2 linked regions of the Drosophila melanogaster genome follow. Changing the gene in region 1 together with any one later gene gives a genetic interaction. Each region holds a gene or a part of one and is shown on either strand. Other genes may lie near its edges.

Region 1 (3,754 bases):
GAAAAAAGAAATTGGCTCAATTGGAAAGCAGCGTATATAGAGGAAGGGCGGGGATCATAAAGAAGGAGAGAGGGGGAAAGGGAAAGCCGAGTGGACTGCACTTTATGAACAATAAATACAACACTGTGCAGCCCAAACTGGCAGATAAATCAAAACTTACATGATATTTACAAAAGAGATTTAATGGCAAGAGCACGCTTAAAAAAGCATTTTTTTATTGAAAGTACCCCCATTGAATAAGTTTTTAGTTACTGATTTCTTGAATGTCCTTAAAAACTGTTGTATGGAATATCAAAAGATTTCATCACGAATTGAAATGATTGTGGTGGATGTGAGATAACACAACTCTGAGCAATTGGCAATACAGCAACAACAATTTCCATGTATAATAAGAAAAGTCACAATACTATGATGGAATTTACACCTGAGTTTGGAGGCTGCATGCAATTTTTTACAATTAGTGTGTAAGTGAATGGGACCTCCAAATGTATGCATGTTTGTGCATCCTCTGACTTTTATATGTATGTTACACAACACTTATACAGATCGATTTGGTCCAGATGATTTCTACGATTGATGCCTTTTTAACTCAAACTACAATGTGCAAGAAAATAATTCTAAGATCCAATGTAAAAGAAGAAACACCAATGAGAAATAAGTCAAGCTTACAGAAATCGAAACACAAAATGATCAAACCACTAAATAACTTCGAATAGAAAACAAAATTTTAGTGCACACCTAATTTTATAAAAACGATTTTGATTGAGCGTGCACTATGTACAGACGTTTTTCGTTTAATTTGACTTAACAAGGCTTTCAAATTTTGAAAATATGCTTTTTGCTCTGTGTACTTAGCATGCTTTCGATGCCTGTTTTCCAACACTTGCAGGAACTTACCGTTATGCTCGGTGAATATGTTGAGACCCACGGTGGGATTGCAGCGTGCATCCTTGTGTCCGCCACTACGCTGGCTCAGCCCCGATCCGGATCCGCCACCGCCTCCGCCCGATCCGCTGCCACTGGCCACGCCGGAGGACGAGGACTTGATGCGGGAGCCACGGAGCGTGGAGCCCCCGCCGAGGGGGGCGCTGCTGACGCCGCTGGAACTGGAGATGCAGTGGGGGGAAACGGAGGCCACTGGGCTGCTGGAGAGGCCGATGCAGCTGACGGGGGCCCCCGAGCCGCCTCCTCCCGAGTGGGCGCCCCTGTCCTTGCCCTGCTGAGCCCCCATTTGCCAGTGGGTGGTTGGGTGGTTTTTCGCTCTTGCGCAGCAACAACAACTTGTACACTTTTCTCTCTCTTCTCTCGGCTCCTGCTGCTACGGCTTATTCGCTTACTACTACTACTTATTATTTGCTTTGCTTTTCTTGTTATATACTTCAGCTTTAACTCTTCTCTCTTGGCCTTTTGCTCAATTATTTGCCGTTTTGCCTTTTGCTTTGCTTTAATTTATTTCACACACACACACGCACACATTTTTCTTTCTCTTTCTGCGTTTTTGGAGTAGACAAAAAAGATTGGAGACACTCACGCACACACAGAAGTACACACGCACGGAGGAAAAAGGAAGTTTGCGATTTATCTGATTTGTTGTTCTAGTGGCCGCTCAGGTGCAATTGCGAATTTGCAGCATGTTGGTAAAATGTTGTGTCGGCAAACTTCTTGTCGACGGCTGGGAGGCTGGGTGAGCTTAACTGGCGAGGGGGGTCTCAAAAACACGCCCTGAAAATGCACTTTGTCTTGCGCCTCCGCCTCTGGCTTCACCTCTCTCTCTTGCTTACGCTCGCCTGCTCTGTTTTTTACGGTTTAATTGATCCGCAGGCTGATCCGCTGAACATGGCAAATTAATCGGTTTTCGCGACGATATAGCTCTATCTGATCTGCTAGCGTTGCTTGCTGATTTATCTACATCTGTGCATTTTTTCCACGCACCGCGACGGATCGAATTGGAATCCAACTTGCACTCGTGTGACCGCTTGTCGGTCGTTTAAACATACCCTACTTGGCAGCATACCGATAGACGTATCGATATTGATAATAAATGCTTAGTACTTACGAACGCGTTGGCAGCGCTAGTTTGGTAAGAAACTCGGCTAATGCAATATGATGGGTGCGCGACACGGACTGGTTGGGTGGTTAACTTAGCTTAGTAAGCCAGTGCTTAAAAACTCCATGATTGTGAACACTAATTTTTGGTTGTTCAAAAAAAAATTAAATTCAAACGTTTAAAACACATAATTTGAATTAAAAGAATCTTGATATAGCTTTCTAGGAAAAGTTTATTCTCTTTAGATTTTCAATGCAATGCAACTTATAACATTATCTTTAATTTTTCATGGATACACTTCGAATTTTTTCGACTATTGCGTCAACCCTAGTTTAGTTTATTGATTTTAAGAGAAAACTGACTCAAATCAAAATGTAATTGACATTTAAAAACATCGAATAATCAAGCTACGGTTTTTATAATATGCCTTTAGATGTATTCATAAATTCCCATTTAGCCCGACTAATAAATACAACTGCAATACTTTCCATCCTTTTCCGTTTGTTACGTTTTATTTATCCGTTGGTTTTGTTTAGCATTCTCAATCTTTAGTGTTCTTGCTTAGTTATTATTTAGTATGTATACCCGACAGAAATTTCAAGTTTGTTCGTTTCAATTTCTCTCTCCTGCTAGAGTTCAGTATCAATCGATCCTTCTCTCCATTCACACGATCCTCCTTCAGCTTCTGCTCCGATTTCATTTTCAGTTACATTTTCCTCGCTTACACTAAATTAACTTTTCAAGTAGGACTTTTGCTTTTCATTTTCTCGGTTTTGCTCTTTCACATGCGATCTCTTCTGTTCTGTTCGCTTACAAGTATAAATATAATTTAATTTTTCTCTGGTTATTATTATTTTACGTTCTTTTTTTTTTTTTTTTTTGTTACGTTCAAGGACTTTCTGTGGCTTTGTTAAGTTACCAAAAAGCAGCAAGAAATTTGAAGGAATATTCAAATGCATTTAACACAGGTTAACTAAATAAATGCCTTCCCCTAACAGAATCGAACTTTTTGTATTGCAGCATGACTGACACACTGGTTAAAACTATACTGACTGACTGGAATATATGTTAAAATTTCAAAAATATTTTATTGGTGACTATGACAATGCTTCGACTTAATCCAGTCAGTCAGCAACATTTTATCAGACGTCTTTTCGACTGTTATAAATATTGTTTGTTCTTACAGATTTGAAAACAGTTTATTACTTTACAATAACAATTTGCGCTCTGGATCTTGGAACAATAGACTAACTTAGTGTTTTGTTATTGGTTGGTATTCCGTTTTCACGTGTTTAATATTCCGTTAATATAGGTTTTTATAAATATATATGCGTATAGACTTAGAAGTACAAAGTTCTCAGACCCCAACTACAAGTGATTTTAGGAAAACAGTTCTCCAGTAAATCAAATTCAATTTCAACCAAAAATGCCTGTCGTTCAAGTATCGCAAACTGTGCGATATCCAAACTGAAGGCAGGAGTCTGATCCTTCTTGAGAATTTTAACTAAAATTGGGAGGCAACACAAAATTCCACCCGAGAGGTAAATTATAGCTGACAACGCAAATATCGAAATACATTCAGGGGCTAGTGGAAAACAAAACATTCATTTGGCGCATGTCAATAACACCGGAAATATAAATAAATTCTATACATCAACGACACTTCTAGAACTGCAGCTGGGAAATACATCGAGAGATATCAAGAGG
Region 2 (3,754 bases), on another chromosome or scaffold:
GTTCATGAATCGTAAAATCGACACATGTGATACATAGTATTTTAATCGTTAAAGAAAGCAATTAAATATTTCAGTAAAAACTAACATCTTAATCGTTTTTTTGCGCTGTGCAGCTGAGTGGAAAACCCAAATGAAAATCGAAAAGTGCCCCGCAAATGGCCAGTTAAATGGGATGCTAATATAATTGAGCCACTGGAAAATCGCTTTGGGAGCATTTTCAATATGTGGCAGGTGAAATTTTCTATGCCTTGGGGATTTATTCGTGCGTTAAGCTTAAGTTTTTAAACTGCAGCCGAGTGCAAGATGCAGATTCGTGTGCACACGATAGCGTTTTCCAGCTTAATTGGCGTTAAATTATAATTATGATTAAACCGGAGAGTACGACGGCGGCTGCTCTGTGGGGGTTAAGAGTTCTTTGATTTACGAACGATCTCACCAAGCTGTAAAACGCATTCAAAAGTCCAGGGCCAAGTACTACGTGCTGAGATTGAAGAAGTATAGTAGAGAAAAGTGGGGAAATATGGGAATTATTACAGAACCCAACCAAGGACAGACGCATAGGGAAGTGGGTTACACATACGCAAAAATCGTTGTAATGCCCCCAATGAATTTATCTTTGACCGAATTATGGCGACGTTGTAATGTGTAGTGTTGTTTCTGCTGTTGTTGTCGGATCAGATAATGATGTATGTTGCTATAGAGATGTTGCTTGTGTTGCTGCTGTGCCTGCTGTTGTTGCTGCTGTGTCGATAGTGTTGCTGTTGCTGCATTTGCTGCTGCGGCTGTGGCTGCTGTTGCCGTTGTCGTTCTAATTGAAAACGACATGGAACAGCCCAGTTTGGAGGGTTGAGTTTTTGAGGGTTGGTTCGGATTCACCGAGGGATTCGAGGGCGAAACGCATTTGCGCAAAGTGGAAAAGATCAGAGATGAAGAGGAGGATGGCGATGGGGATGAAGTTAGGGTAGATGAGCTGGCTATAGATGTGGCTGCAGCACTTGATGATGAATCTCTTTGCGCTGCCGTTGGTACATACAACATCTGATCCTGCTGCTGCTGAGATCTCTGTGGTGCCTCATAGATGGGTCCTGCCTTTGGACTAGTAGCCTTGGGTAACTGCAGCACCAACTGCTCGTGCTCATGGTAGCGCTGCCTCAGCTCCTGCTGCTGATAATGATGGTACATGGGATGACGATAGTCCAGCAAATCCAGCTCCTGCAGCTCCTCAATGCTGTAGTACTCCGACTTGGAGCCCAGGCCGCCGACTGGAGGCGACATCTTGTGGTGCATACTTTGGCTGCGGCGTATCATTAGCTCACCGGAGTGACCAGGTGCCACCACCTGGAACTCGCAAATGCCATTGCCCGGCTGCTGATGCTGTTGCTGGTGGTAGGCCAATATCGGAGTGGAATTGGCGGCACTCGATGGCTTCTTGCTGGTGAACGAGGTCTTCGCGTAGAGCTTCTTCATGGCCATTAACCGTTGGCCAATATTTGCAGAGGCGTCACAGACACTAAACAGATCCCACGATCGATCCCACACTTAAGCACACTATGAAACCGAACGATCGGATCGGATCGGATGTATCGTATTTATGTTTGCCTAGGCTCTTGGATCTTGGCTATTCGCTCTCTGCCCACTGGTCACTGATCAGAGATCACCGATCACCATTCGTCGTTCCAAGATCTCAGCTGCACACGTCTGAACGCACTCAAGACCCGCTGGAGACTAAAGCCAAGATCCAGACCGAGATCGCGACTGGGTCTCAGAGACCGAAACGGTCTCTCAGTCGAGGCCAAGACAAACAAAAGCCGAGAAAAAAAATATATCTAAAGGCGAATGAGCAGAAAAGACGTGAGCGAGAAACTGAGTATCGGCTCACAATCTGTATTTTTCTCTCATTTTAGCGGCTGCTGCGCTTTGAATTCGTCTAAAAGGCAAATAATTACACTTCAAAGTCAATAAAATAATGAGAAATGATGAGATGTGCTATGGATGTTGAGCTGGATTGACCCCGAGCTGGGAACCGAGCATAATGGCCAGGTAGATGGAGAGACCACAACCTGACTCACAGTCGCTTCAGACGATTCCCAAATGGCATGACAATTAAAAGACGTGAGGGCAAGTAGTCTGCATAGAACCTATTGAGAAAAAACGTTCTCGTTTTACACGATTTTCGTTGAGGGAAGGATGTAAGATTCAGATTATTGAAAGGCGATTTTATTTTAATACTCAAAAGTTTATATTTTGAGAAGTTTTCAGGCACTGAAACAGAGTTTCAAGCAGTTTCCCTAAAATATGCAATATCTTCAGAGAGCTACAATGATACAATGAATTGTAGGGCATACCCTTACAACTTTTCGCCTAGCTATGAAATTGCGCAAGTTCCATCTCAAATTTCTTATGCAGTTTCGAAGGGTATGCGATAAGCTCTCGAATCTTACAAAGTTGCGCCCGAGGCTTTTTTCTGCCGGCAATCTTGAAGCCTCGCCGACGTCTCGTGACCGTCGTTTAACCAGTTGGTCAGTCTGTCCATCCGCCAGTTAGTCATTCGGTCAGTGTTTGTGATTCAGTAAGTTGGTTCCGTCCGTCAGTGCGATAATTACTTAAGAAACGAGCTCAATAATTTATATTTCCCCCTCGAGTGACTATTACAAGTATTTTTCCCTCGCTCGCTGCGTTTTTGTTTCCTTCATTTCAACTGTTCTTTGGCGGCGAAAAGCGGCGACGGCGGCGGGAAATGGGGGGGGGGAGGTACCTGGAGGCACAGCTTGTAGCATGTTATGAAAAATTCATATACAACATTGTCTATCTCAACTTGGAGCACTCAGCTCTCAGAGATCTGAGCCTCTGTTTCTGACTCGCTGGCTTATGTTTCAGTCTGATTCGGTTTTTTGCCCCACAACAATTCCTAAACGTTATTTCCAATTAACATTATTGTGGCCCATTGTAAGTGGTTGTGTAGTGGCTGTTGGTGGTTCACCGATCTCTGATTTGAGCCAACCGATTACCGGCTAGCTTTAATGGCTCTGTCAGAATGGTTCAGTTCGTTTTTTTTTTTTACCATTTTTGTTTTGTTTTTTTTTTTTTTTGGACCAGAGCGTGTGCCGCGGCTTAAATGATTTGGCAACTAAATATTTCTAAGGGGCACTACGAATGCGAGTACTGGAGTAATCCATATGGCTGTCCATAAAGACCCGCAGGCAGACATCGGACTGGAAAAAAAAAAATCATAAAAACAAACAGGGCCCACACATGTGAGCAGCGGAGTCACAAAGTAGGTTGCCAGGCAGTCAGGAGACTCAAAACAGTTTGCCCATGGCAAACATCAAGAAGTGCTGGGGGACAAGTGGGGGTCTCAATCAATATCGAATATCACTGCGCGATGAACTCGTCACGGGAGGAGCGCTTCCTGCCGTGCCTGCACTGCGAGAAAATCCGTGCTCAGTTAGTTTCAACATTTATGTTGATCTTATAAGGTGTTGCAAACCACAAATTCAGAAAGGAAACTGTAAACGAATTTGTTTATGATGGTAAAAATTTAATCTAAAATACATTCATTCACATTTTTTGTACACCAACTTTTTTCTTAACTTATAAGTACCGACCAAAGCCTGGATTTGGGTCACATTGCAGCACCTCATCGCAGACCTTCCATTCCACTGGCACAGGTGACGACGATATGTTGGGATCCATTCAGCTTATGGATACCGACTTCAATCAAGCTCGTAGCCAAAAGGATTAACGTTGAACGTTC

What was found.
Region 2: of Abl (region 1) and ena, changing one suppresses a phenotype caused by changing the other (phenotypic suppression), as found in Drosophila melanogaster (5 studies listed by BioGRID).

Annotation. Positions count from the first base shown.
Region 1 is NT_037436.4:16,645,913-16,649,666, forward strand, and holds the start of Abl (Abl tyrosine kinase), read right to left. Parts: upstream 1,971-3,754; 5' UTR 1,232-1,970; coding exon 898-1,231; intron 1-897. UniProt on the Drosophila melanogaster protein: Arm and Abl proteins function cooperatively at adherens junctions in both the CNS and epidermis; critical for embryonic epithelial morphogenesis regulating cell shape changes and cell migration.
Region 2 is NT_033778.4:19,153,194-19,156,947, reverse strand, and holds the start of ena (enabled), read right to left. Parts: upstream 1,728-3,754; 5' UTR 1,474-1,727; coding exon 581-1,473; intron 1-580. UniProt on the Drosophila melanogaster protein: Functions, together with Abl, trio and fra, in a complex signaling network that regulates axon guidance at the CNS midline. Required in part for robo-mediated repulsive axon guidance. May be involved in lamellipodial dynamics.